Linked DNA regions of Tamandua tetradactyla. The protein of the gene in region 3 purifies or fractionates together with the protein of the main gene of each other region. This does not show direct contact. Links are inferred from orthologs where the notes say so. Each region holds a gene or a part of one and is shown on either strand. Other genes may lie near its edges. The genes, in order: COPZ1, COPG2, COPB1 and COPG1.

Region 1 (7,278 bases), on a different chromosome or scaffold from region 3:
TGTTTGAAAGCTAGAGCTGGATTACTTAATTCAGGAAAGAAATGTGACCCATTCTAACATACCTAAGTGAAGGGAACCTATTGGGATTAAGAAATTCTCATAATCAGAGCCAACTTTGATCAATAGTTCCACTTGATCACCTCTAGTTTACGCTTTCCTTCTTCTCAACTCTTTACTTCTTCTACAACTGTGTGCTATGTCAAGGTGAGTGAGGACAGAAGAATATTTTCTGATCAGATTTCCCCAGAGGTCCAGCCAAACCAGGAAACAGAAATGTGAAAGGAGGAAAAGGAAAGTTACTCTGAAAGGAGTTTGCCCTCTCTAGGGAGTGGCCTGTTAAACACTCAGCTGGTACAGTAAACTTTGGTTCAACAGGATAAAGATCTAAGGTGAGATACAGAGAGTCTACATTGTTTTCACAATGAAGATGATGACCTAAGAATCAGGAGATATGGCTGAGAATAGACAGAAGAGAGGATGAGATTTAAAAAAGGTACTGTAAGGAAGTTTGATTCTCAATCAAATGGAGCTAATTTTGGTAGACCAGTGTGTAACAATAATGAGGAGAGAATAGAGATTTAGGAAATATTACCTGATTCTCAACAAAAGTTCCTCATCAGAACTACATAACACAGAAAATTATTTAAGTGACCATTTTCTCACTTCCCCCAATGGAGGGTTCATAATGAATGGCATTCTGGATGCAGTGGATAGAGACTGATTCATTACAATGGATGCCTTAGGGCATTAAGGCTCATGGAACTCCAGTTGAGAAAGCTGGAAAAGTGAAGAAAAGTGTTTAAATTCTTAATTGAGAGCCCCAAATAACTGTATGTAAAGAGCAAAAAATGTTGAAAAGAGTTAACCCAAAGGAAAGATAATACTAATTTAATATCTTAAAATCTCTGGAGACCAGTACAGGGATTAATATCTGTTGGTGATGTTTGAAAGGACAATTTTGCATACAGAGGACGGAGAAAGCCCATGGTGAGAGAATCTTGGTAACATCATAGAGGGATGTGATCTTAGAGGTTGAATAAATCCAATCTAATCCTAGTTTTGATATTGTGCTTCCTTAAGCACAATTCTTAGGTCATCATCTTCACTGTGAAAAGAATGTGGACTCACTGTATCTCACCTTAGATCTTTATCCTGTTGAACCAAAGTTTTCTCGTACTTTGATTTCCCATTTAACATAATTACATTGGTCCCTCAGGATAAAAAAAAAAGCATGAGGATTATATTATTACTATGGTAACATATATACAACATAAAATTTCCCATTTTAAGCACTTTCAAGTACACACTTCAGTGGTAATAGTCACATTCACCATGTCATGCTGCGATCACCACCATCCATTACCAAAATGTCCATCAACCTACACAAAAACTCCCTACTCATTAGGCATTGATTACTTCAGTATGATTTTTAAAGCAAAGTTCTGGGGTACCTGATCAAGTTAGCTCTAACACCATGAATGCAGCATCTTAGGTACAGATTCAAGTGGATATAAGGAAGAAGTGAGTTGGAACAAATGTCCCTTAGGAAGAAGGGAGAGGAAACTGAGGTGTGAGAAAATGTGACAAAGGGAAGACTTTCACATATAACTCCCTCAATTCACCACTATTCATAAACCCTTTGCTAAAAGGGCACCCTAACTATCATTTCTCTTGCTCCTTTACTGCCAAGCAGGGTCCCTCTAAACATGTAAGGAAGGTATCTACAAATTTCTAAAAACTTCCAAAGAAACCAATTCCCTAGCATCTATCTATCCTATCTGTTAATTGGTTAAGGATACTGGTTAACTGCCTGCTACTAAAAATATATTTAAAAGTACCTGGATTTTAAGCTTTCTACCTAGATTTGAACAATCTAGGAATTATCTCCACCTTTGCCAGTTTTGAAGGAGGGGAAAACTGAAACCTGTTAGTCTCTTCTACGTGATGATGAGGATCTGGATACGGATGTGCATAAAGTCGGAGGAAAAGAAAAGTCTCCCGGAAAGCTTTCTAGAGTTCAACTCAAGGAAGGAGGCCAGGAACTAAATTCATATCATATCATAAATTCATATTCATATATATATATTTCCAAATTGAAGACAGGATATTTTTGAGAGAAATGCTTAGGTCCAGTCAAAAGGAGTAATAGGTATTTTACTGGTTTGAACAACTAAAATGGATGTTATGAATTAAAAACGGGCTAACATGCCCCTTTAACCACTACAATTCTCATGTATCCAGGGAGAGAGTCAGCATCGCAGATCCTACAGTAAGAATTCCAAAAGTCTAAATGAGGAGGGAAAAAGGAGAACAGAATAAAGAATCTGGAAAAAATATTCTACAATCCAAACTAACTCTATGAGCTATTCCAGAACTTCAGTGGAATAAACTTACTCTTCATCAAGACAGACAGACATAACAGGAATTAACGGGAAACCGAAGTAGGGAGAAAAACGGTTTTTGAAGGAATACGGCAAGGAATGTCAAACTCATAGCCATCAAACTCACAACTTGTGATGAGAAAACTCTAATCCTACAATTTGGGGCGAATTTAGATATTTAAGGAAACTCAGATCAGGAGATCACCCACAATGTAAAGAATTAGGGAAAATCTAAAGAAGCCCCCAACCCTGCACGCTTATAATTCTATGTATCCTCGGACTCCATGTGCTCCCTTCAACTTTTCACCGACTCTATGACCCTCTTTCTCCCCGGCAGGGCTTCCTACTCCGGTCCGAGGCTTTAGCTCCTGTGCTAGGCCACACGCTTATTCCGAGGGCCAGCAGAACCTCCGGTCCCCGAGGATTACCCAGAATTGCCCCCTCTCCTCCCTCCAGTCGAGCTGAACCCGACTCCGGCCCCTATGGACATCTCAGCATCTCGCCTGCCCCTCCGACTCCTACCAAAATCAGCGCCTCCATCTTGCCCCGCAGCTGGTGCCGACGTGGAGCCGCAAAAAGAACGCAGCCGCTGATTGGCTCTACGTCTCCATTAAGCAGCCCCCTAGGATAAGGGTCATTGGACACCAGACGCCAGAATTGCCTTACTGACCAATCAATGTACTAGCTTTCTCAACGGAAGTAAGATATCCAACCAGAAAACTCAGATATTTGATTGTCAGCTTGAATACTCAATAAAAAGCCAAATTCGCTCCAGGGAATGAGGCATAGAGTGACAGGGGCGGGGTTGTTTCCATGGGGAACAGAGGAAGCGATTATTAATTTTCGATTGGTAGAGTAGAGCGTACGTGATACCGTCGACTCGCCTAAGTAACTTTAATCAGCACTGCCTGTAGGGGGCGCTATGACCTTTTGGCCCTTAGCACTGGCAGCCGGTGACAGAATCCTATCCTAATCACTATACCAAGAGCCCACCCTAGGTCCATGTTACTTCGGGTTGCTGGAGCAGCTATGCCTGACACCCTCCAGGCTTGGTCAGCTATTTAAGCATCCTCAAAGGAAGTCTGTACAACCACAAAGTGGAGCCACTACACTAGATGCCTCGCGTTTTAACTAGAAGAACCAAGGCCGCCACGGTAAAGATCTCTCTAAGTTGGAGTCCCAGGCTTTGCAGGACCCAGGGAAGGAAAAGAAGCCAGTGAATTTCTCTATTAACAGTTTCCTTTGGTCAGATGTGAAATGAGACGTTAGAGCTTTAGACGCCTGAAAGGAGAAAAATAGGAGGGGTAAAGGGTTTGTAAAGGACCAGGACAAGGGAGGGAGGGTACAGGGAGCAGTGTCTGCGGTTTTCCAGTAGGGACAAGCCGTTGCAAAACGAGAAAAGAGAAGTTTACTAAGTGCAGAGATTTCACAATGGGGCAGGGTTTTGATCAAGTTTGCTTTCCCCAACCCTTGGTTCCTTGGTGCCTGACCCCCGTAGTTCGGCACCTCTCATTGCCTTATATTATCCCTACAGGAATTTATATTTCCCATCTCAGACAACTTTGTCTTTAGGATCCCTCCAAGAAAAGGTCCAAACCAACCCAAGAGTTTTTTTTTCATAGTTTCAGAGTAGAGTCAGAGGGCGTAAGAGAGAAGTAAAATAAACAATGGAAAAGTTTTGGTAATAGATGCTGGTGATGGTAGCACAATAACATCGCTGAATTATGTATTTGAATGTGGTTAAAAAGGAGAAATTTTACGTTGTATAAATGTTACTAGAATAACAATTTTTAAAAACCATAGGACTATACAACACAAAGAGTGAATTAATGTAAACTGTGGTCTATAGTTATAAGTATAATAATGTTTCATCAATTGTAACAAAGGTACCACACTAATGCAAAATGTTTATAATAAGGAAAGCTATGTGCGTGAGTGGGTTATAGAGGAACCCTGTATTTTCTGCATGATTTTTCTGTAAAGCAAAACTTCTCTAATAAAAAAACAAAAACAAAAACAAAAACAAGAGGAAGGTAAATGATTTTCTGATGAAGTCCCAAGTGACAAAGCTCAACAATCCAGGTCTCAAATATAAATTGAAAAATGGCAGAGAAAGTCATCTGGAATTGAGGGACTGGCGTGTGAGAAATTACTTCTTTTATACCTGATTGAGCTGACTTGATTTATCACCTTGTCCCTTTAAAATTGCAGAGATGCTAAGCCCTGGACACAAAACATGAAGGTCCATTATCTGTGAACTTCAGAGTCTCAAACTGGACGCTTATAGTTTAAGGAAACATAGATCCACCCCCAAGGCTTCAGTTGATGAGGTTGGAATTGAGCTCTCTTTGTTGTAATCTGTAACTCAACCTGCAACCTCTTTGAGAAAAGAGTATGGAGAGGCACAGTCTAAATAATTTCACAGCAGAAGACTCCAACTTGACGATCTTTCCACCAAGGTTTTGGGACAACTCAGATTAGATACTACATATAAAATGGGAAGGGAAACAGTTGACCAACTATGAGCCCAATCAGGGATGCTTAGGCTTGAATATTGGGGTTTGGACAGAAAGATGGTGATAAGGAGCAGAGAGGGGAGTATCTAGGTAAAAATCTTAAAATCCAGGTAGTTTTTAATAAGATATTTTTTATTGTAGGCAGTTAACCAGTTAACAGATAAGGTATCAGATGAGGTAGATACTAGTTTTTAGAAATTTTTAGATACCTTCCTACACCTATTTAGAAAGGAGCTTACTTGGAGGTAAAGGAGTAAGAGATGATAGGAAACTCTTTTTTTAATTTGTGTGCTGTAAGGCAGGGGTCACATTTCATTCTTTTTCCATATGAGTATCCGTTCATTGCACCACCATTTGTTGAATTTTTGCTTTTGTTTGGTTTTTTGTTTGTTTGCTTATTTGTTTGGGGAGTGCATGGGCCAGGAATCGAATGGGGCCTCCCGCATGGCAGGCGAGAATTCTACCACTGAGCTACCCTCACATCCCTTAGAGAACTCTTTTAACAAAGGGTCTATGAATAGTGGTAAGTTGAGGGAGTTATATGTGAAAGAAAATCTTCCCTTTGTCACATTTTCTCCTACCTCAGTTTCCTCTCCCTTCTTCCTGAGTGATGTTTACTTCAGCCCACTTCTTCCTTATATCCACCTGAATCTTTACCTGAGATGCTGCATTCATAGTATTCCAGCTAACTTGATCAGGTACCCCAGAACTTGGTTGATGGAAATTTTGGTAATGGATGGTGGTGATGGCAGCACGACATTGTGAATATCATTAACGTCATTGAATTCTGTATTTGAACGTGGTTAAAAGGGGAAATTTTAGGTTTTATATATATTACTAGAATAAAAATGAAAAAAAAAACCACATAGGACAACATGGCATGGTGAACCCTATTGTAAACAATAGGCTATAGTTAATTGAAGAGTTATAAAAATGTTATTGCATGAATTGTAGCAAATGCTACAATTTGTCGCAATACTAATGCATGGTATTAATAATAGGGTGGTATGTGGGAACTTTGTGTTTTATGCATTATTTTCCTGTAAACCTACAAATTCTCTAACAAAAAAATTAAAAAAAAAACCTAAGTGGTCTAGACAATCCTATTGATCAAAATAGTTGGGGTAACTGATTATTTTTTTCATTTAAAAACTTTAAGACTCTATCATAAATATCTTTGTATATGTTTTCAATAAATGTTTATCAAATGCCAGCCATGTGCCAGGCATTGGCTTTGGGCACTGGGGTTATAGCAGTGAACAAAACAATCAGGTACCTCTGCCCTTGTAGCATTTGCATTGTAGTTAGGCAGCGGAAGCAGAGAATAAACCGAAGAAATAAGTAACCTATATAAGAGTTAGGTGGTGATAAGGTTTATGGAAAAAAATTAAAACTAAAAAGGAAAACCGGGAGTGATCCCATTATGTTGCACAATATGGAGTGGTACCTTTCACAGTGAGATGTGAAGGAGAGGCAAGAGGTTCAATAAGATGGTCCCAGAAGACCTTACTAAGAAGGGTACATTTGATAAGACACCTAAAAAAAGTTAGAGAATGAGCCATGTGGATATTTGGGGGAAGAGCATTCCAGACAAAGAGAAAATATAGGAAAATATGGAAGAAAAATATTAACATAGGTTACCCTGAGAGGATGAGATGGAAAGAGTGGATTATTCAATAGATTTTCTTTATATATGTTGTTCCTGTAGGACTTTGTTACAACAAGCAATTTAAAACTAATAAATGAAAAAGGGACTATCATAAAATGGGGATAAAGTTGGGAGGATTAAATGAGATAATGTTTGAGAAAATGTGTGTAAACTGTTAAATGCTTAGTATTTACTTATTATTTTATAAATAACTGAACATAATTGAACACTTCTGAGCAGAAACATGAGTTTATGGAAGCAATTTTAAGATCATTAATTTGACTGCACGTGTGCAGGTAGGATGAGAAGAGGACAAGTGAAAGGCATAAAGACTAACTAGGGAGACACCACAGTTCTTTATGTTCAAGTGCACACAAAACAGTGACAGTAAAAAAAAACTCCCCAAAAGATTATGTGTCACAAGTGAAATTAGAAGTCAAAGTGTGATGGATAGAATCAACTGTTTGTAGAAGTAGCAAAAGTCTTGATGTAGTTTCAGGAAAGCGTAATTTCATCAACATAGCCAAAGCTCTACCTCGCCTAATCTCTTAAAGTAAAATGGCTGGAGCCATAACACAATCAAGCTCTAACCCAATCAATTATAATAAAATAGCTGAGGTGCATATAAACAGAATCAATTATATTAACTTGGCTGGAACAGAAACCCAATCCATTGAATTGTACCTTGGTTCTGAAATCCTACTTAATCAATTCAGACCTTGTCTCTATAGAT
Region 2 (7,314 bases), on a different chromosome or scaffold from region 3:
CCGATATATTTTATTTAAAAGCATGTGTTTATTTCTCAGTCTGCATTTGTAAACAGCAAACATTTATTAAATCTCTGGATGATGTCTTCAGTCATGATTCAGAGTAAAGATAAAATATTCACAATTCAAACTGGAAACCAGTCTTCTTAGTACAAATGTAAACCACTCAAGGTAAGTGGGTGTGCATGAATCTAAGAAACAAAATCACATTTCTAACTCCCTAGATATGTCATGAGATTTTATTAGCCTTAGGCAAAAAAGAAAAACATAAGAAAAATACAATTAATGACAATAATAGCAAGAAGAATCCAAATTCCATGAGAGCATATTTTGTCTGCTCCATGCTCAGTACCTAGAACAGTGCATAGGACATAGCAGGTATGCAATAAACATTTGCTGAATGACAGAATAAAAATTATTTCTGAATGCTTACTATGTGCTGAACTCTCAGTTCTTACATTTATAATTTCATTTAATCATTACAACTTCATAAAACAGGTATTGGCATGATCCCCATTTACAGAAGAGAAAATAAAAGGACAGTTAAGTTAGTTGCCCAGAATCATACTGCTAGTTAACAATTAAGTAGGAATAGTAAATACAAATCAAAATATTAAAATCAAATCAATGATTAAAATAAAAGCTATGGTCTAATCTACAAAAAAAAGAGTAAAGATATAAGTCTGGAATTTGTCTAAGACTTTGCACTTTATTTTTAGAGGTACATAAGGTACATGTTCTAACATTAACTAATACTTGTTAAATTCAAATCAATAAGCATTTATTGAGAACCTACTATATAGTTAGCTAGCTTAGTAGCTCACGAATACAAAACAAGTATATGTGATAGTCCCTGTCCTCGAGACATTTTACATATTAGTATGTTAATCAAATACTGTACTTTTAAAACTTAAATGAATTTTTAAAAAATAAATAATTATACTTTCCAGAAAGTAGTTCACTGCATGGCACATATTTTTACTCCAAGACACAAATCTGAGGAAAATGAAAATAATTTACCTGGTTGAGTAAGTAAAGAATCTTAGTAAGAATATGCAAACATCTTCTGGGATTGATCGGAGTTTCATTGAATATACGAGCCTATAAAACAAACATAAAAAACCAGCTTTAATAAAAGAGATTATATATAAAATATCACAATGTCCAAATAATGTCAATGGCTTACAGTTTTCAATTTATTATATTTTATTAAAATAAATTATTAGATAAATTATTAGATGTGATCCTCATTTTCCCATTTTATACCTTCTAATTCATTCTCTTAGGTCCACTACTTAATTTTGTGAGCTTTATCTCTTAAATAAGAATCACAAGGTTTATCTACATCATATGGCTACAAAAAGCTTAACACCTATAACTTCCTTTAATAACCTTGCACCAAACATCTCTCCTGACATTTTATTTAAAATTCCCAATGCATAGCAGAGCCTGCATGCCCGTGCATTTCTATAAGCTCTAGACTCTTCTATGGCAAGTAACCCCTCTTCCTTTTCCTTCAAGTCTCTAGTCTCTGAACTCAGTTATATTCCCTAATTCCATCTTATTTTGGATATCCTGATCACAACATCCCAGGGGTTATACGCCCACAATTCTAAGATAGAATATGTAAGAAAGAGCACAATGTAGTTCTAAGCCATACCTCCTGTAAGACAGCACTCTTCTCCAGATGCTGAAAAGGATTGGAGCTACTACCTACATTACAAAGAAAAAAAAAAGCCTTTAACTGTCCTACACAAACTTATTTACATTCAACAGAAGGTTATCTAGTACTTGGGAAATCGCACCTAAGTGAGGTGGCCACTTGGATATGGCAGTGGTCATTATAATATGAATACAAATTGGATAAAATTATTTTGATTCTTGCTTTAAGATATTGGACTTCTCTTTTGCAGCGTCTTCTTTTCCTCCCCTCTTTTTACATGAATGATACAAATATATGTCATCTCCACATAATATTAAGGATATTATAGTAAAGCACTTTGGTCTTCCTAAAGGCAAGCACTATTTTTTGTGCTTATAAAATTTACTGAGAGATAGAAATGAATAATCTAAGAGAGAATCACACAAACTTAAACCCTGGAAGGGATCATGAGGTTTACTGAGCCCTCCATCGTGTTTTGTGAGTGTGGCTATCAAGCACTGCATACTGGTTTTGGGATGACTTGGCATCTTCCCCACTTCCACTGGATCAAAGGCGGGTGGGTGTAAGTCCAAACTCACTTCTGGGAGTCAGAGCATGAAGTGAGCTATGTACCATGGGACTGTCTTGCCCCCTGGGAAGTAGACAGAGAGAATGTCCCAGGGAAGACTATAAGGTATGAAGCGCAACAAACTTCACATACACACTGTCCAGTCAATCCCAAACCCCAAAACGGGGCTCCCACTAACACCAGGAGCACCCACGGCCACTCAAAAGCGCACGCTCACACCTTCAGCCACCTGCCATGGGCCCGCCCCCTCTCCAGGCAACCCACGCCCCCGGAGCAGGGGGGAGGAGGCGCGGAGGGGCTACGCCGCCGACGGTTCGGCGCCCGGGGACAGGGCACCTGGGGCGGGAGGGGCCGCTGCGAACCCCCAAGCGGTGCACGGGTAGCAGCGCACGAGGTTGCGCCCGAGTGCCTGGGTCGCGAGCGCGCGACTCGGCCGCCCAAGGGGAGGCTCTGGGGCCCGGGGGAGGGGCTACTGGCAGGGTCCCCCCGCTGGAGCGTAGGGGAGGGGCTGGGCTCAAACTCCGGCCCCTCTCACACCGGTACCCGCGCCCCGCCCCCAGGTCCGCAGTCCCAAAAAGCAGGTGGCGGGAGGCGGAGAAAGGGGCCCTCCCGCAGGTGAGGGTGGCCGTAAAAAAGGCCAGCGCGTACCAGACTCCTCGTCCTTCTTGTCGAATTTTTTAATCATCTTGGACGACTTCCCAGCGCCCAGACCCACCACCACCGTTCAGGGCGCCGCAGCCGGCGAGCGGAAGAGGCTGCAGGAAGGCCGACCCCGGGCTCTCGAGCCTGTTGGGCTGCTTTCCCGTCACTCCGGTAGAAGGTCCGCCCTCCTACCCCGGCTGTCAGCGGCGGCTCTTCTCCCCGTTCCCCCGCGGCCACGCCCTCTGCTCCTTCCCTACCCGGGCGGAGGCGGTGCGAGGCGCTGGCGTTGCCGCCAGAGCCTGAGAGGTCGGAACGAGGTGCTTGCCAGCCCACTTTTACGCCCGGAGCAGGCAGGAATGTGATTTTATTTGATTGGCATGTACTCGATAGCAGACTTTGCCGGCCCCCTCAGTCTCCGGAGTGGGAGGTGGGAGGCTTGAAGAGTTTTTCACTTAACCACAGTGGCTGTTTTTATAATCCACTGCTGGACCCTTCCATTGAGGAAGGTGCTGTTTCCTGGCACAGTTCTAGTGGGCTTCTCTCCCAGGAGCGATGAAAGGGTTAGTGGTTCCCAAATCACCTTGGAAGTCGGTATTTCACTCACTGGCTTGGAAACTGCAATAAAGCACATGGCACCGTTAGGTGAAGGTGTGCTTCCGGAGGGTCTAGAGGGAATGTGAAGCGTGAAGAGACTTGGAAGGGCCAGAAAGCTGGTTTTTACTCTAAGCGAGCGGTAGATTTTGGACCTTTCCCAGTCTTTGTGAGTTTGGATTCCTAGCCCTCATCAAAACCTGATTTAAACATACTGCCAGTTTAGACTTCTTCTATTCCTCCCCTTTCAAATTATTCCATCTTCAACCATATTGCCGCGTAACTCTTAATTGGTTAACTTGCATTCACCTGTATATTCATGATCCACTGAGAATTTTACTAAAGTGTATGTTGGTTTCCAGTTCTTTGAGAGTGTAACTAAGAAACTTTTCCTGTCTTTAACTTCAATGGCATGACTTTTTATCCAGATTCTCTTTCAATTTTTGTGGATTCTTAGGAAGCTTTCACTGTGAGATTTTCTTTCTCCAGTCCCTCTCCACTTTTGTATGCATTATCTTTTTTTTTTTTTCACATGGTCAGGCACTGGGAAACGAATCCAGGTCTATGGCATGGCAGGCGAGAACTCAGGCGAGAACTCTGTCAGTAAGCCACCATAGCCTGCCCTGCATTATCTTTTAAATATCCCTTGAATCTGTTCCTTATCTCTACCACTATCATTATCACCTTAGTACAGATCCTCATCATCTATCTCTTGGACAACGTCCTCTCCAGCCTTTCTGGCCCCATCTAAACCATTCTCTATGTGTTCTTTAGTTGCATGCCTGGTAAACATGGAACATTATTAGGGGCAGGGATATGCTAGCAATCTCCTTTTCTAGAAGTAGAGACATTGGTCTCCACAAAGATTGTTTAGGAAAAGCACTATAATGGGTCCTTTAGGTATATGAGTGGAACAAGTATCCATTCATTTTTTCTTTAGGGTAACTGTAAAATTGCTATAAATCTAGTAGATGCTGCAGATTGAAATATTAAGTGTTCTATTTAGAATGTAAATTGGGTATGTCCGTAATAAGATTGTGTGCTTGCAAAAGTACATTCTTTCTCCCAAATATGGATTTAAGCTGAACTATTGATATCCTACATATAGTATCATCTAAGATTTAACTCATATTTTACCAAATGTGCTATCAACTAATATGTTTTTTCTTATCTAGCTTATGAAATCCAGATCATATTTTCCATGTAGAGTTTCCCTTGAAGGAAGTAGATATTCCCACTGTCATTTATTCTGGGGCTGAAAATAAAGAAACTATGGAGAAAGAGAGAATCTCTTTCTCTTTCTTGGGCAAAGGGTCTCAGGGACCTAGGCAGAGAGCGTCCACAAGCCAGGAGATTCCCAAGAACAAATAATATGCTGAAAGCATACTGGGAAATATTAAGGAACTGAGGTTAGGTTTGAGACCAAGCATAACGGTTGCCCCTTTAAGTGCAAGATAAATCGCTCACTACTGTTCTGTAACTTTCCCCTATACCCATGAAGTTTTGTGTAACAGAACAGCTTGGTTTTAGCTGTATAGGGGAGTTAAAAGAGGCAATGGGTGGGGTTGGAGTGCAGTGACAGATAGGCTCAGGAGGAGCAGAGAAACCTGAAGAAGCCAGTTAAGCAATGGTATGCTATGACTCAGACCTCTAGAACAGTGCTATTTAGCCTGAGAATAGCAGGAAAAGGTGTTAGGCAATCACTAGGATGGTTCTGAGGAACAAGTATACTTTAGGGAGTCTCAGAAATTACTTGAGAGACCCAGTAGGAGAAAATGAACCTTATTTTGAAGCCATAAGTTGATGAAGTTTAGGGACCCATCGGTTATACTTCTAATAAATGTGTATTCAGTACTCGGAAATCCTTCAGTGGGTTTCAATCGCCTACTGGATAAAACTCAAGCCTTTACTTATGTAATATACAAGGCCCTTCATCATCTGGTTTATCTGTCTCACGTATTGAAAATGCAATTATTGGTGCTTGGCAAGTATCCAACACCTAGTAGCTACCACCACCACCACCACCACCACCATTAACATTAATTTAATAATAATATGTGAGGAGCATTCTCTTTTCACCCTTTCTCACACAACCTTATTCCAAACCCTTTCTACCCTATGCCTTCATGCTACCTGGAAAAGACTGTGGCTCTCCAAGACTCGTACACTTATCCTTTGACCCTTCTAGTTCAGTTTCCCCCAAAGTGTAATATGCGTGGATGGTTTTAGGTGATACCTAGATAAACATTTTAAGGTATTATGAATTTGATTTAATGTGTGTCAAGAAAATTATATAATTAGTATATCAAATCTGTGATGTCAAAGATATGGTTTTGCTTAGGAAAAGAATCAAGAAAAAAAATCCTCTTAAAAAAATACTAATAATGGGACACATAATGCATTGATAAGGCAAAGCAAGCCTATCAAAATGATACATAATGTGGTTTGGTAAACACTTAAGTTCTTGAAACTTAAGAATATAAACAGAGTCCAAAGCCTAGCACCACTTGAGCCTCCATCAGGTCCTTGCTACAAGGGAAAACTAGTCTTCAGTATCACCATGCGATGATTTTTCTACATCTCCAGTCCCCATAGGTTCTACCTCCAGCCCACATCTCAAGTCAGAAAGCCATGCTTTACAAGAGAGGAACTTACCGTCTTTCCTCATATCCCTTTTAGAGACTGGAGCAAAGGTGAGCTGAGGGTACATATTTTTCTGTTTCCTCAAAGCATAGACCTTTGAATACTTCCCTTCACTCTTGAAATCATTGTCAGTGGAAAACCTTAACAAAGAAAGTTTGTTTAGTAGATCCTAGGGCAAGTTAATGGAACTAGTCACTTGAAAGTCAGCCACATTTTAAAAAATTCTGTGAGATAAGAAGGGACAATGACTAGAAGGTATTGATTGGAAGAGAGTTGGAGTATTGTTCAGTGGCAAGAGACGCTTCTGGAACCTAGCACTGTAAACCTTTGGATAAACTCTAGAACCTCCTCCCTTTTCTCCAAACTAAGTATAGTCTGCTCTGGTTTGCATTACTCTCTTTTATCAGAACATAAATGAGGTTGAGGCTCATGTAGGAAGCGATGTCTTATTGTTACACAGTCATACATATTCCCTACTTTCAAAAAGTGTTGAATGTACTGAAGAGAGTAACACAAATGAGGAAAAGATAGGAAAGAAAATGAGTACAAGAAGAACCAGGGTTTCACCTAAACCACTGTTCTCGCTTGGATGCAGAATTGTCCAACAGTGTCACCGGGAAGGTTGGTTTCAGCTCAGGTCTTGACTTTTTCTTTTGAGGCATCAGGGGCAGACAGAAGTTTTCAATGGGTTTGTGCTGATAATGACTTTCCTGCAGCAGAGGGAAGAACTGCAAGTGAGGGAGTTCCTGGACAAAGTTCCAATTCCCCTAAAATGATGCAGTAAAACCTGTCAGATAGTGAAGTGGAAACTCAGAAACTCATACGAGAAAAAGCCTCTTCTTGAGTGGCATAGTCCTGTCGGTTTCATTGTTAAATAACTTGTCCAAAGCGTGGCCAGTTTTCTAAGTAACTGACTGAACTTGCCCACTGGCCCTTTGTAGTGAATGGTATAGGAAGTTACCCTGTTTTTGAGGATTCAATTAATGAAAAATCAAATATTTGGTAATTAATTGGGCAATAGATCCATGGGGCTGTACATTCATTTCTCAGAATCAGCTGCCTCGTCACCATGCCACTCTCTGCCTGCAGTGAAAAGGCCATGGAATGGGATGTTTTTGTTTTGTTTTGCTATTTTATTAGAGAAGCTGTGGTTTTACAGAAAAATCATGCACAAAATACAGTGTTCCCATATACTACCCTATTATTA
Region 3 (7,277 bases):
TTCCATTTTTAAGTCAGTGAGAATGACAAAAACAAAGTATCAGGAGAACTAACAGTGGCGAAAGCAATAACTAAGAAAATAAGAAAAATAAGGCAAAGTTCCAAGTAGTTAAAGTCATATTCAATGAGCTTACACAGGCTTTCCCTCTCTTTGTTCCAAAGCTCCCTTTCTAAATAATTTTTAAAAAAAAACAGAGAGAGATAATTTTCTAAATATTTGATGACATAAAGGACACAAATTTCAAAAAGCATAAAAATTTTTTAACACTAAAACAATTTAGAAGTTTTAAAAATAAATTTAATGGTCAATTTGCCAAAAAATAAAAAATTGACACCACTTATATTTCAAACCCTCACCCCACTTTCCATTTTATCCCCAACAATTCAAATTGAGGTGAAAGGAAGGATGCTTCTTTCCACATCTTCAAAATTTCCAAAACTTTTTCTTTCTGTGAACACTATCAAAAAATGGAAAATCTCAAGTACTAATCGAATTCACCAAAATACACTAAATACTTCCTACTCCAAGGAATGTACAGTTATTGGACCTCACAACTACTCTCTGAAGGGAAAGAAAAGAAAATAGTTAAAGCACTTCAATATTTCACCTAACAAAAACTATCTGCTGGGCGGTGGCTCAGTGGCAGTATTCTCGCCTGCTATGCCAGAGATCCGGGTTTGATTGCCGGAGACTGCCCATGCCAAAAAAATATACATATATCTGGTTACTTAAAACTGAAAAATAGCTCTTAAACTTTTTCTCATCTCAATTATTCTGAGATGAGCAAAAAAAAAAATACACAAAATTTGAGACTACTTGTTTATTTATTGGTGGGGGGAAGGTAGTTTAGACAGCTGGAATTAAAGAAAAAGTATTGTTCCAGTTAAGGACTGAGTTCCTTCTTTAACTTCCCAGCTACAACCATAAGCATTTTTGAAGTCTAATATGAACTTTTAAATTATAAGAAGAAGAACAGTATTGAGAATTTATTCACTAGTTTACATTCCATTCTACTATCTTACCTGAATGTTAAAAAAAAAAAAAGACGACTATATACGTGGCCTTTGCATAAAATGTTATCAGTTTAAATGTCATAAAAGAGAGTTGCTTTTCCCTTCTCTAATAATTGATTCCAACGGAAATCTAATACAAAGTACCCAAAAATCAGGAGATATTCCATTACTGCTGATTAAGAGGTGGGGAACAGGCAAGTAAAATGTTAAGTTTCTTTCCAAACTGCAAACTGCCTTCTGAAAGATACTTTTAAGTTCTGAAATATTAATTTCACGCTACTCTATTTTAAACATTAGTTACAGGTTAAGTTAAAGTTATGGTAATAGTTCAAATAACAAGGCTCATTACTTTGGAAAGTGCAAAGTGCATTACTTTCTAAGAGGTGTTTTTTCAACAGTCACAAACACACAATATATAGTTTCAAAATTCAAGTTAAATTTTTTCTTGTTTTTATCTTTGCAAAAAATGTTTTCAAAATGAAGAACTCAAACCTTTCCGGAAAACACATTTTTATTCCTGTGTTGACTTCATTTGTTCACCTAAGAACAAAGTCCTTTTCATTTTATAATCCACATAATATGAAGTTAACTTCCCAAAGAAAGTAAGACATTCAAATACACATCCTCAATCTGCTACCCACAGAGAACTCTCAGTTCATTTAAGCATAACACATTTAACTTCACAAACCATTATGCAGAAGGATACCTAACAACTAAACGATAACATTTTCATTTAGTTTTACTAAGCAAATTGAAATGTTCTACTTCCAAAGCCCAATATCTCAAGTCTAAAGGTAACAAGTTTTCACTTTAATAAGACAGAAGGTCTACTGAAGAGACCCTAGAAAGAAATATTTAGACAAAAAGTAAGTCTTTCCAGTGGAAGTTGAAATCCTAATGAGTTTTTGTTTTCATATTTTAGCTTTTTACCGTTTCGTTTTCAAAATATTATTAAAGTTTACCTAGATCGTTTTTTAAGCTAATTTCCGATGGTGGCTCTGAATCCATAGGCACGTTAATTAACGTATAGCACACGTTCTCAGCAGCCGTCATGGTTTCCGATTATAATCAACCCAATAAAAGATTTAAGGTTGACAGACGCCAGAAAATCTAGAAAAAATAAATACAAGATATCATTACATGTTAAGCACACACAAACCAGTAACTACTGTGACCTTTACTGTCTAAAGTTCATTCGCTTGGGCATAATGGTTTGAAAATATTAGGAGGGGAGGGTCAATCTCTATTGGGTCTCTATGAAAATAAATCATAATGTAATATAAAACAAGTTAGCCCCAGGTTAAGGGATATTATTTATCCCCTATCGCATCCTCGTACCCCGCCCAGGGTTTGAGAATGCTGTACTATACAATTAAAGTCCACAAAACAGTGACAGCCCTCAGCTCCACCCCACAAATCTTTAACATAACATACAATCCGAACTGCTCAAGTTGATGAGACCCTTTGCATGAACACTTTGCCAAAATCTTAAAGCGCTTTTATCCCGTCCATTGGGCTCTCAATTCTGCGTCCGTCAGTCAGTCCCTCAATCGGTGCGCTGCACGCCCCCCACCCCATCCCCAGCCCGGTTTCCTCCCGTAATGCCAGTACGGGCCTGAAAGGGCGAATCCAGGGATCCTGGAAGGGAGACGACCCCTGGCCAGCATGCAGGCCGGTGTGGGGCTTCGGGCCGAGAACTCCCCAGCCCCCCTGTTCCCTTTCGCCAGGCCCCGACACCAGCGGCCTAGTCACCCCCTTCGCATCTCTCAGCTAGAAAGCTAGTTCCACAGACTCTACGTTGCCCGCCATGCCTCTGGGATTGGGGGCTAGTGGCCCGCTACCTGGCTCCGAGGGGCAGCGGCTCGGACAACGGCAGGACGGTCTATTCCGGCTCCAAACAGCGGCTGCAGCGGGCCTAGAGTCCCAGGCTGACGTGGAAGGGGAGGGGAAAACGACCGAGACCTGCAGCTATCTAGTGTCTACGGCAAGTCAGAGAGGCCATGCCGTCTCCGTTCTGCGGTTGCGCGCCGCCAATTATATCGTTTACTTCTCCGGTCCGCTGTTGGTTTTAGCCGCAAAGGAAAGTAGAAACACATAAAGTTTTCCCTGCAGGCCAAGCGCTGAAGTCAGCGCTGTGGTTCCTCACACGCCACTTAGAAATCGTTCCCTTTTCCAGGAACTAGAACAGCCGTGGGGAGGAAACGCGTAGAGAGGGGAGACTTACTTTATGGCTGTTGGGTCCAGAGGAAGCACTGGACTGAGAGCTGGAAGCCCGGGATTGTTTTCTAGTTCACCCACGAATTAAGAAAGTAATTGATTACTGTTTGGGAAGGTAATTTCTGTATTTGTAATAAGGAACGCTGTATTATCTGCTAGATCTTTTTCAGTTCCTAACATCTTCAGTTGTTTGATCTCGCCTTCTTTGCAGTTCGGCGAGAGTAGCTTAAATATCAAAGTCCGAGTCGCACCGGTATGATTTCTGCTCTTTATTTAGTAATGCTTCCGTTTGTGATTCTGAGCATCCAGGAAATTAAAATTATTTTATGGTCAAAGGGAATCGACAGTAACTGTTTTAAAAGTGTTTTATCTTCCCCACAAAACTAATTGCTACAGATACAATTAAACAATCTCTTTTTGCCTGTCTGTGATCCCCTACCCCCACAAAAGAAGGTTTCCTGGCCGATTATTAATAACCAAATATTTGAAGAATTGAGCAAATCCTTGTGGATGCAAGGAAACACTGAGTTCGCTATGTGCCCTTGTAGGTGAGAGAGGAACCCTGACTATGTTTACCATGTGCCTTTCCAGATGAGAGAGAAACTCTGACTGCGTTCACCATGTGCCTTCTCACTTGAGAGAGAAATCCTGAACCAAGATATCTTTTCCTGGATGCCTTTGATTGGACATTTCTATAAGTTTGCTTTAATTGAGACATTTTCTTGGCCTTAGAACTGTAAACTACCAATTTATTACATTCCCCTTTTTAAAAGCCATTCCATTTCTGGTATATTGCATTTCAGCAGCTAGCAAACTAGAACATCCAAAGTATACAATCAGTGGTTCACAGTATCATACCATAGTTGTGTATTCATCACCATGATCATTTTTGAACATTTACTTCACTCCAGAAAAAGAAATAAAAAGGAAAAAAAATCATACATCCCATACCACTTACCCTCCCTCTCATTGACCACTAGTATCTCAATCTAACCAATTTTTTTACCCATTCCCTCCCCATATTTATTTTTGTCCTTATTGTTTTACTCATCTGTCCATACCCTGATTAAAAGGAGCATCAGACACAAGGTTTTCATAATCACGCAGTCATATTGTAAATGCTATATAGTTATACAATCTTCTTCAAGAATCAAGGCCACCTTCCAGGTCAAGATGGCGGCTTTAACAACGTGCACGTTTTAGTTCGTCCTCCAGAACAACTACTAAATAAGCAGAAACAGTACAGAACAGTTCCTGGGGCCACGTCAGTGACCAAACACACAGCGTACCCCAGTCTGGACCAGCTGGACCAGCTGCGAGTACCCCCCAGAACCGTGAGTTCCCAAAGCTGCGGTGGCCAGCGCCCCTCCCCCACAGGCCGCTTCCCAGAGGGGAAAGGAAAGGACTTTACCAGCAGCAGGGACTGGGCACAATCAAACGCCAATTGTGAAAATAATTAACAAATTCTGACTACTAAAAATAGGCCCCCAGCTTAGGTGAACCTGATCAAAGTGGAGGTTGCTCATTTTTGCCCCGGTGCCAAAGGGGGAGTACTGACAGAAAAAGGGGAGGGGGGAAAAAAAGGAAGGAAACAGGTTTTTGTGGCTGTGTATCTACAAAGGCTTGACTGCCTCTGGATACAGTGATAGGCCTTTTCAGGCTGCAACTGCCCAAGGCATAGGCAGAAGTGAGCTCTTTTGGGGGCTTGTCTGGAGGCTGTGCCTTCCCCAGAGGAAGGGTGAAGTCCAGCTCAGGTGGAATCCATCCATCAAGGAATTCAGACACCAGGGCTCGGTAATGTGAAGCCATTAAAACCAGCCTACAACCTCTCCTCTGTCTCCACCACGCCATCAGCAGGGAGAATGTGCCAAAGTTAAAGGTACTGCATCATCTTATGCTGGTGGGGCCTGCAATCAGACAAGCGCCACACACAGGGCAGGATAAGAAAAACAGAGTCCAGAGACTTCACAGGAAAGTCTTTCAACCTGCTGGGTCTCACCCTCAGGGAAAACTGACGCAGGTGACTCTTTCCTCCTGATAGGAGGTCAGTTTGGTCTGGGAAAATCTGGCTGGGGTATATAATATCCAAGTAGACCCTCCTAAGTGTGTGTGGGGGGAAGGCACCACACAAGCAGGGCAAGAAACAAGAAAACAAGAACTGAAAAATTCTCCTCTGTTAAACAAAACTTAAGCTAAAGGTCCAGATAAAGCTGAACGGAATGTCAAAGAACAGACAACAAATTCATCCAGCAAGAAAACCCTAGATAAAAGAAGTGAAAGCAATCTCCAGAATAAACTGATTAAGGTAATTAAATGCCTAGACACCAGCAAAAAATAACAAATCACACTAGGAAAATTGAAGATATGGCCCAGTCAAAGGAACAAACCAACAATTCAAATGACATACAGGAGCTGAAACAATTAATTCAGAATGTACGAACAGACATGGAAAACCTCATCAAAAACCGAATCAATGAACTGAGGGAGGATATAAAGAAGGCAAGGAAAGAACAAAAAGAAGAAACTGAAAGTCTGAGAAAACAAATCACAGAACTTATGGGAATGAAAGACACAGTAGAAGAGATGAAAAAAACAATGGAAACCTACAATGGTAGATTTCGAGAGACAGAACATAGGGTTTCTAAACTGGAGGACGGAACATCTGAAATATGACAAGAAACAGAAGCTATAGGGAAAAAAATGAAAAAATATGAGCAGGGACTCAGGGAATTGAAAGACAATATGAAGCGCAAGAATATATGTGTTATGGGTGTCCCAGAAGGAGAAGAGAAGGGAAAAGGAGGAAAAAAACTAATGGAGGAAATAATCACTGAAAATTTCCCAACTCTTATGAAAGGCTTAAAATTACAGATCCAAGAAGTGCAGCGTACCCCAAAGAGAATAGATCCAAATAGACATACTCCAAGATATTTAATAATCAGAATGTCAGAGGTCAAAGAGAAAGAGAGGATCTTGAAAGCAGCAAGAGAAAAGCAAGCCATCACATACAAGGGAAGCCCAATAAGACTATGCGCAGATCTCTCAGCAGAAACCATGGAGGCGAGAAGGCAGTGGGATAATATATTTAAATTATTAAAAGAGAAAAACTGCCAACCAAGAATTCTATATCCAGCAAAATTGTCCTTCAAAAATGAGGGAGAAATTAAAACATTTTCAGACAAAAAATCACTGAGAGAATTTGTTACCAAGAGACCAGCTCTGCAAGAAATACTAAAGGGAACACTAGAGACAGATGCAAAGACAGAAGAGAGAGATGTGGAGAAGAGTGTAGAAAGGAAGACTATGAGTAAAGGTAAAAAGAAGGAAAATTAGATATGACATATCAAACCCAGAAGGCAAAATAGTAGAAGAAAGTACCACCCATGCAGTAATAACACTGAATGTTAATGGATTAAACTCTCCCATCAAAAGACATAGTCTGACAGAATGGATTAAAAAACAGGACCAACCTATATGCTGTCTCTACTCAAAGGACACGAGGCAAGGACACAAATGGACATTTACACACCAATGTTTATAGCAGCATTATTAACAATTACCAAGAGATGGAAACAGCCAAAATGTCCATCAACACACAGTTGACTAAACAAACTGTGACATTTACATAAGATGGAATATTATGCAGCTTTAAGACAGAATAAAGTTATGAAGTATGTAACAACATGAATGGACCTTAAGGACATTATGCTGAGTGTGATTAGCCAGAAAGAAAAGGACAAATACTGTATGGTCTCACTGATATGAATTGACATTAGTGAATAAACTTGGAATATTTCCTTGGTAATAGAGACCATCAGGAGATAGAAATAGGGTGAGATATTGGGTAATTGGAGCTGAAGGGATACAGATTGTGCAACAGGACTGAATATAAAAACTCAGAAATGGACAGCACAATATTACCTAACTGTAATGTAATTATGTTAAAACACTGAGTGAAGCTGCATGTGAGAATGATAGAGGGAGGAGGGCTGGGGACATAAATGAAATCAGAAAGAAAGATAGATGGTAAAGATCAAGATGGTATAA
Region 4 (7,676 bases), on a different chromosome or scaffold from region 3:
GCCTGCCCTGCCCCGCCTCAGTTACAGGCCTGCTCCCCTGAACCCACACCCTTCTTCTACTCCTCTCTAGGTCCAAGGTTATCACGCTTGCCTGGACTACTATAAACATCTCCCAACCCATGTTCTCCTGCTATTCTTGCTTCTTCTGGCTCTGTGTACTTCAAAGGGAGGAAGAGGTTTGTGTCCAAGTTAAAGCCAGATAATTAAAAGGGAAACAGCATACCCTGCAGGCCACCATGGGGTTGGCACCAGTAACTGGAGGATGAGGCAGACAGAATGGGCAAGAGTGCCAGATGACTATGCCAACCAAAAGTCTCATACTCTGGTACACATAAGAGGAAAAATGTCCTCTGTGTCCATGGAACCCATCGGAAGAACCACCCACAGCACCAACAACTTGCCTGCTGGTGACAATGATGACATCCTCTGCGATGCAAGACATTTCCTTGATAGTCAGATAGCACATCCGACGGAGTGTGGGCTGTGAGAGATGAGAAAAGCCCTATCATCCCTGGCTCACCATGAGGGCCAGAGTTAGGAAAAAAAAAACCCTGATCTCTCAAAGGCAGCCCACAGTGCCTGGCAAAGCCAGCTTTCCTTGGTCCTCCCATCATCTTTTTTTTTTTTTTTTTAATTTATTTTGTATTATCAAACCAAAACAACATACAAACATGAACATTCTTAACATACATTCTTAGTATGATATACAATCAATGGCTCATAATATCATCACATAGCAGTATATTCATTACCATGATCATTTTTCAGAACATTTGTATCACTTCAGAAAAAGAAATAAAAAGAAAAAAAAAAAACTCACATATACCATGCCCCTTACCCCTCCCTCTAATTGACCACTAGTATTTCCATCTACTCAACAGATTTTAACCTTTATTCCTCCTATTTTTTTTTCTATTCCCACCACCTTCTTATAAGCTGCTCCCCCTCAAGAAAAACTGGGGCCAGGGTACTTACATCATTGGACTGAAAGAGCTTGGTCATAGCAAAGAAGGCTTCGGTTGCTTCAGTGGTGCCCAGATGCTCCCCCTGTGGTAAAAAAGAAAGAAGCCTTAGCCTAGGAAGGAGGGGCCAGATGGCTTTTTTTTCGTCACATCACCCCATGCCAGCTCTTTGGACCCCGCAGAGGTGCCATCAAAGGCAACACAACAGGATTGGATGCTCCGGGAGACCCAAAGCAGGACCAAAAGCTGTCAAATCACCTAAGTGTGTGATAATTCATATATCCCTCTCCCAAACCTCCCCCAGCACCATTTTTTTTTGCACTCCCAGGTTCACCCTATTACCTGGTTTATGAGGTAAAGGATCTTGGTGAGGATGTGGGCACATTTTCGAGGGTTGATGGGAGTTTCATTAAATACACGTGCCTGAGAAGAAGTGACCAAGACTATTATCTTCTATCCCTTCCACTGACAATTCTCAAGCACATTCAAGGTTCTGGCAGGTCCTAAGGTAAATCAATACACCTGTCTTGACAAGCTTATTTTCATAAAGGAAGAGGTTTTTCCCTCAATCCATCTAAAATCAACTTCTGAAATCTTCCCTAAATATTAGTTAGAGATGGGCCAACCTACTAACCAGCAAATACTTAGTAATCACTTGTTAACTCAAAGAAGAAACAACCAATATCATCAACAAAAACGTAGGCTTAATGAATTCTCTTTGAGAACAAAAGTTTTTCTGCTTTTCCAGGCACTGGTTTTCTCCCTCATAGTTCTCTAAATCAGCTGTCTGAATGTGTTCATATTTTCATCTTCTCAACCATGAACATTTATGATGTAAGATAAAGGGGAACAAATGACACTTGCCTCCTGAAGTACTGTACTCTTCTCAAGGTGTTGGAATGGGTTGGAGCCTCCACCTACAATCAGTAATGGAGAAGAATGAATACTGGTTCTATTTCTGAATTTAAAACTCTCAGAGACAGAGGAAAGGGAAAGATTTCTTTACTGGCTACCTGGTAAACTTCAAAGTTCTCATGAATGCAATTAAGGCTCTACAATCTGTCCATAGATCCTACTACTCTGCTACAAGGGGAATCCACTCTATCCCAAACCACTTACAGTCATCTAGCAGCCCTGCTGGTACAGCCCTTCTTCTGTGCCTCTCATGGTGTATGTCACTTTTTGCATTCATTTATGCAGCCCCGTACTATTTGAGTCCCTACTACGTGCCAGGGGCTAACCGTCCCATTACTAGGTTTCCTTAATAGCAGATGTCATCTCAGTAATTAATCATGTGTATGATTATCTGATTGATGTTCTTCTCCTCTACTAGACCTGTGACTGTCTTGTTTATTCCATTCTAATGTGTCCAGCCCAGGGGACAACTGTCTACCTTGTTCTAGGACTGTATCAGGACTGTACAAAGCGTTGCATACAGTAAGCGCTCAATATGTTTGTTGAACAAATGAATGAATGGAATTAGGGTTCACAGCACACTGACTCCGCTGACCATGCCCTAGCTTGGACAAGCATCAACGCAGCGCCGGCAAATTCAGAGAGATTGGACGAAGAAAGTAGCAAGGGAGTAGCCAGCCCGACTCTCTCCTCTGACAGATGGGAAAACTGAGGCCCAGAGAAGAGCGTGACTTGTCCAAGGTCACCCGGCGAGTAGCGGTCCGAGCTTACGAGGGGAAGGGGTCTCTTGAAGGATGCTCGGTCCCCGAGGCCTGCCACCGTCCAGTCTTGGATCTTCGCACAAGCCCCAACCCCTCACTGGGCCTCGGCCTCTAGCTCAGGTCAGAGGCACCTTAAAGAGGATTCCCAGGGAGGGTCCTGGGGGCTTGCGTGGAGGTCCGGCCTCCCTCAAACCCAGGCCTGGGGTCCCTCACCCGACTCCTCGTCCTTCTTGTCGAATTTCTTCAGCATGGCGATGCCGACGGGGGCGCAACGCAGCAATAAATACTACGCGGGCCTGGCAGGGCTCGGAGCAGCGGTCCCGCGGTTGTTCCACAGGGGCCACTTCCGGGGTTCGGTCCAGCCACGTCGCCTTGCGCTCTGCGCAGGCGCAAACCGTGCTCTGCGCCTGCGCACATCCCGGCCGCCGCAGCCGAGGCCGGCATTAACCCTGTCCTTACTAGAGGCTAGAGGCCCAAGAGGCGGAGACTCGGAGGGTGGGCGGGCGCCCCATCTCTGCGTCATTTCTCACTTTCAATGCTCCTTCCTGCTTGATTCTTCTCCTTAGCTCAAGTCACCACCTGACATACTATATTTACACTTTATTGCTTTCACTGTCTTTTGGTCACCGCAGCGAATAATAGTAAGTGCGCAACGAGCGCTTGTTGAATGTGTGCTGTTGCTATTATAATCATATCCACCTAATCCCGATCACACCTGCACCCGGTGCAAACTGTTTTGTACTTTATTAACTTTCAGAGATTTAACTAAGCCTCAGCACGAGACTTCAGCGTCACTTTGATTGCTAGTACTCACCCAGAGCCAACTACCCGCGCCGCCTAGCGCTGTGGGCGAGAAGGGATGGAAAAGGGAAAATGACACATCACCCGGGGTTCACCTTTCTGGAAACCTGCTCGGGACAGTACGTGCCAACGTCCCAAATCGAAGCTAGGGTAAGGACAGTGAGTGCCAACGTGCCAAATTGCATTCGCTGCGGCGAGTTGAGTCGGCATGGTCCAGCGATGCGACGCGTGCCACCAGCTAGCCTCGGGAGGGGGCAGCGCGCGGAGAGGCAGGAGACCGGGCAAAGGTCCGCAGGCGAAGAAATGTGGGGGTGGGGGATCGACAGCAAAGGGGGTGTGCTGGAGTGATGGAGGCGGGGACAGCCTTTTGGATTGGGCGGTGCTGATGCTGGGGGACTCGGAGGCTGGGGGGTTGGGGAGCGGGCGTGCACGTTTCGCGGGAAAGGGAGATTGTCAAGAGTTAAATGATGTTCAAAACCTGTAACCTGTAACCCCACCCCTAGCCCAAAAAAAGGTAATGAGGTTGTGCACTGCAGCAGTTTGCGGCAAGATACCCCACCCTAACTGTCCGTAAGTAAGGAAAGTATGGAACGCTACGCTCAACGGATGAAACATTATGCATCTTTTTAAAAAAAAATTATTTATTAATTTAAAAAAATAAAGAAGCAAAAATAAAACAACATACATAATCAGTAATTCACAATATCATCACTTAGTTGCATATTCATTATTTCTTAGAACATTTGCATTAATTCAGAAAAATAAATAAAAAGACAATAGAAAAAGAAATAAAAGGAACACAGGAAAGAAAAAAAAAAGATTATACCTACCATACCCCTTACCCCTTGCTTTCATTGATCACTAGCATTTAAACTAAATTTACTTTAGCATTTGTTCTCCCTATTATTTATTTTTATTCCATATGTTCTACTCCTTTGTTGACAAGGTAGATAAAAGGAGCATCAGACACAAGGTTTTCACAGTTACACAGTCACATTGCGAAAGCTATATCATTATACAATCATCTTCAAGAAACATAACTACTGGAACACAGCTCTACATTTTCAGGCAGTTCCCTCCAGCCTCTCCATTGCACCTTAACTAAAAAGGTGATATCTGTTTAATGCGTAAGAATAACCTCCAGGATAACCTCTCGACTCTGCTTGGAATCTCTCAGCCATTGACACTTTATTTTGTCTCATTTTGCTCATCCCCTTTCCGTCCGGAAGGTTTTCTCAATCCCTTGATGCTGATTCCCAGCTCATTCCAGGATCTCTGTCCCACGTTGCCAGGAAGGTCCACACCCCTGGGAGTCATGTCCCACTTAGAGAGGGAGAGGGCAGTGAGTTTGCTTGTCGTGTTGGCTGAGAGAGAGACTGCCTACTGATTTTTGACTCTTCTGTTCCTATGGTCATATGAGACACCTTTATAAATCTCATATTTACAGATGTCTCCTCTTGGTTCTCTTTTTCTAGGGAGCCCTGACTAATAAAGCTTGGTACGGGGAGTGATTCTTGAAAAACAGAATCTTAAAAATGGATTTTAACAATTGGTTTTCTGTTAGGCACAAATAATCAAGATGGCACTGACAGTCTATGGGGTGAGCTGGCAAGAGAGATACGCAAAATATCACCATTAGATTCTGTTAATTGTACACTTATGCAAGGAAAGGCTCAGGGTGAGAGTGTTTTTGACACCTTTTCAGAGTTTTGTCGAATTAAGAGCTATGATGTTGGTTGGTTGTTATTTGATATACTGGATACGTTGGTGAGCGAAAGGGATGAGCTGAAGGCTTCAAATTTGAAACCTAAGTCCCATATGAACTATGTAAAAGTTTCTATGTGTGCCCTAAAAGAAAATCTTATTTCCTGTGGTCACAAGCTTGACATCTCTGAAAACCAGACACAGAGCTTCATTGTTAGAGTAGCAGATTTATAACATAAAGTAAAATTTCAACCTTGCAGGGTGTCTGCCCTTAAAGGCTTTGATTGGGAAAGAATGGGATTCTGAAACGTGGTATGGGGATATATGGCTTGATAAAATGATGGTGATGGGGAGATGGGATCCCTGGAATCTGCTGAGCCTTTGCTAGATAGACCTGCAATGGACTGCCTTGAGGAAACAGCTTCCCAGTTTCCGATCTGCCCAGAGGAGTCTGCCATCCAATCTCCACTTAAAGGGATTAACCTTTCAGTGCCTGCTAACCCTGTAACCACCTCCCCTAGGGAAATAGCTCTCACTTCTCTGTCTGGAGCAATTGGTCCCGTTTCACCAGAAGAAACTATAGTGGAATGCCCTGAGGTGGTTGGCTTGAAAGATACTTCTACATCTTTTCATGACCCACCCCAACCATCTTCCTTTTCTTCAAGACCTATAACTAGACTGAAGTCCCAACAGGCCCTAAAAGGTGAGGTACAAAGTGTGACCATGAGGAAGTAAGCTATCTCCAAAGGAGCTGCATGAGTTTTTTAATCTATATAGATAGAAATTCAGGGGAATATGTGTGGGAATGGCTATTAAGGGTGTGGGATAATGATGGAAGGAATATAAAGTTGTATGAAGCTGAATTAATTGATATGGGCCCACTAAGCAGAGATTCTACATTCAGTATTGTAGCTCTAGGGGTTAGAAGGGGCATTAACAGTTTGTTTGGATGGTTGAGTGAAACATGGATCCAAAGGTGGCCAATATTACCTGAGGTCGAAATGCCAGAACTGCCCTGATATAATATAGATGAGGTGATCCAGAGGCTAGAGAGATTGGAATTTAGAGTGGATTTATCATGGAAGACCTGCTCACACACTCCAGGAATGTCCAGAGGACACACCTTTCACCAGACCTTGAGAATAAATCCGTCATCTCTGTAGTCACCCTTCTCTGTAGTTCAGATACTACTGTGGGAACTGCTGTCACTGAGCTGGCATCCTTAAACACCATGCGGATGATCAGATCCTGAGTTGGCAGAAGCCAGGTGGCAACAGTTAATCGCCAAAGACAAGGTGAATGTGGCTATCAGAACGGACAGCAGACTCAAGGCAGCAGTCAGAATAATCTGACTCGCAGAGACGTGTGGCGTTGGCTGGAAGATCATGGAATAACTAGAAGTAAAATAGATGGGCTGTCTACTAAATTCTTATTTGAGCTATAAAAGCAAAATTCTAAGTCAAATGAACAGAAGTCTAACTTGGATTACAAAAACAGTGAGTCACGGTCGTTTTAATCAATTCCCAAATTTGAGACAGTTTACAGACCCAGAGCTCCTTGAAGGAGGGGAGGGCCAGGTACCCTTGGGGAAGCACCATTTTACACTGCCCCAAATTTGTATAGTTAACCTTCCTCTCAGCCTTCCCCAAGGAGACCTAAGACCTTTTACCAGGGTCATTGTGCACTGGGGAAAAGGATATGATCAACTATGTCGGGGACTATTAGACACTGACTCAGAAGTGACACTAGTTCCAGGAGAGCCAAAATGTCACTCAGGTCCAGGCTTATGGAGGTCAGGTCATCGATGGAGTTTTAGCTCAGGTCCACCTCCCAGTGGGTCCATTGGGCCCCTGGACCCATTCTGTAGTTATTTCTCCAGTTCCAGAATGCATAATTGGAATTGACGTACTCAGCAATTGGTAGAATTCCCACATAGGTTCTCTGTCTTGTGGAATGAGGGCTATTATGGTAGGAAAGGCCAAGTGGAAGCCACTAGAATTGCCCCTACCTAGCAAAATAGTAAATCAGAAGCAGTACCGGATTCCTGGAGGAATTGAAGAAACTGGTGCCTCTCTTAAGGACTTGAAGGATGCAGGGATGGTGATTCTCACCACATCCTCATTCAACTCTCCTATTTGGCCTGTGCAGAAAACAGGTGGGTCATGGAGGATGACAGTTGATTATTTTAAACTTAACCATGTGGTGACTGCAATTACAGCTACTGTTCCAGATGTAGTATCATTGCTTGAGCAAATCAACACATTGCCTGGTACCTGGTATGCAGCTGTTGGTCTGGCAAACGCTTTTTTTTACTCAATAACTGTCAGTAAGGACCACCAAAAAACAGTTTGCATTCAGGTGACAAGGCCAGCAGTATGCACTCACTGTCCTACCTCAGGGGTATATCAACTCTCCAGCCCTATGTCGTAATCTTTGTCCGCAGGGACCTTGATCTTTTCTCCCTCCCACAAGACATCACACTGGTCCATTATATGGATGCTATCATGTTGATTGGACCTAGTGAGCAATAAGT

The links.
Region 1: the proteins of COPB1 (region 3) and COPZ1 fractionate together in Homo sapiens (co-fractionation; 8 studies listed by BioGRID and IntAct, with this or other methods). This does not show direct contact. The link is inferred for Tamandua tetradactyla from reciprocal best matches to the Homo sapiens genes COPB1 and COPZ1.
Region 2: the proteins of COPB1 (region 3) and COPG2 purify together in Homo sapiens (affinity purification with western blotting; 4 studies listed by BioGRID and IntAct, with this or other methods). This does not show direct contact. The link is inferred for Tamandua tetradactyla from reciprocal best matches to the Homo sapiens genes COPB1 and COPG2.
Region 4: the proteins of COPB1 (region 3) and COPG1 fractionate together in Homo sapiens (co-fractionation; 11 studies listed by BioGRID and IntAct, counting the BioPlex papers as one, with this or other methods). This does not show direct contact. The link is inferred for Tamandua tetradactyla from reciprocal best matches to the Homo sapiens genes COPB1 and COPG1.

What each region holds. Positions count from the first base shown.
Region 1 is NC_135333.1:115,697,370-115,704,647, reverse strand, and holds the start of COPZ1 (coatomer subunit zeta-1), read right to left. Parts: upstream 3,018-7,278; 5' UTR 2,922-3,017; coding exon 2,904-2,921; exon of another isoform or gene 2,276-2,903; intron 1-2,275. UniProt on the Homo sapiens protein: The coatomer is a cytosolic protein complex that binds to dilysine motifs and reversibly associates with Golgi non-clathrin-coated vesicles, which further mediate biosynthetic protein transport from the ER, via the Golgi up to the trans Golgi network.
Region 2 is NC_135327.1:172,420,645-172,427,958, forward strand, and holds the start of COPG2 (coatomer subunit gamma-2), read right to left. Parts: upstream 3,008-7,314; 5' UTR 2,917-3,007; coding exon 2,880-2,916; intron 1,714-2,879; coding exon 1,661-1,713; intron 1,102-1,660; coding exon 1,021-1,101; intron 1-1,020. Other genes in the region: TSGA13 (testis-specific gene 13 protein), read right to left, coding at 3,322-3,488, 6,120-6,247, 6,675-6,874. UniProt on the Homo sapiens protein: The coatomer is a cytosolic protein complex that binds to dilysine motifs and reversibly associates with Golgi non-clathrin-coated vesicles, which further mediate biosynthetic protein transport from the ER, via the Golgi up to the trans Golgi network.
Region 3 is NC_135334.1:89,871,116-89,878,392, forward strand, and holds the start of COPB1 (coatomer subunit beta), read right to left. Parts: upstream 3,008-7,277; 5' UTR 2,855-3,007; intron 2,124-2,854; 5' UTR 2,067-2,123; coding exon 1,976-2,066; intron 1-1,975. UniProt on the Homo sapiens protein: The coatomer is a cytosolic protein complex that binds to dilysine motifs and reversibly associates with Golgi non-clathrin-coated vesicles, which further mediate biosynthetic protein transport from the ER, via the Golgi up to the trans Golgi network.
Region 4 is NC_135335.1:31,965,151-31,972,826, forward strand, and holds the start of COPG1 (coatomer subunit gamma-1), read right to left. Parts: upstream 3,015-7,676; 5' UTR 2,889-3,014; coding exon 2,852-2,888; intron 1,880-2,851; coding exon 1,827-1,879; intron 1,386-1,826; coding exon 1,305-1,385; intron 1,048-1,304; coding exon 976-1,047; intron 482-975; coding exon 402-481; intron 1-401. UniProt on the Homo sapiens protein: The coatomer is a cytosolic protein complex that binds to dilysine motifs and reversibly associates with Golgi non-clathrin-coated vesicles, which further mediate biosynthetic protein transport from the ER, via the Golgi up to the trans Golgi network.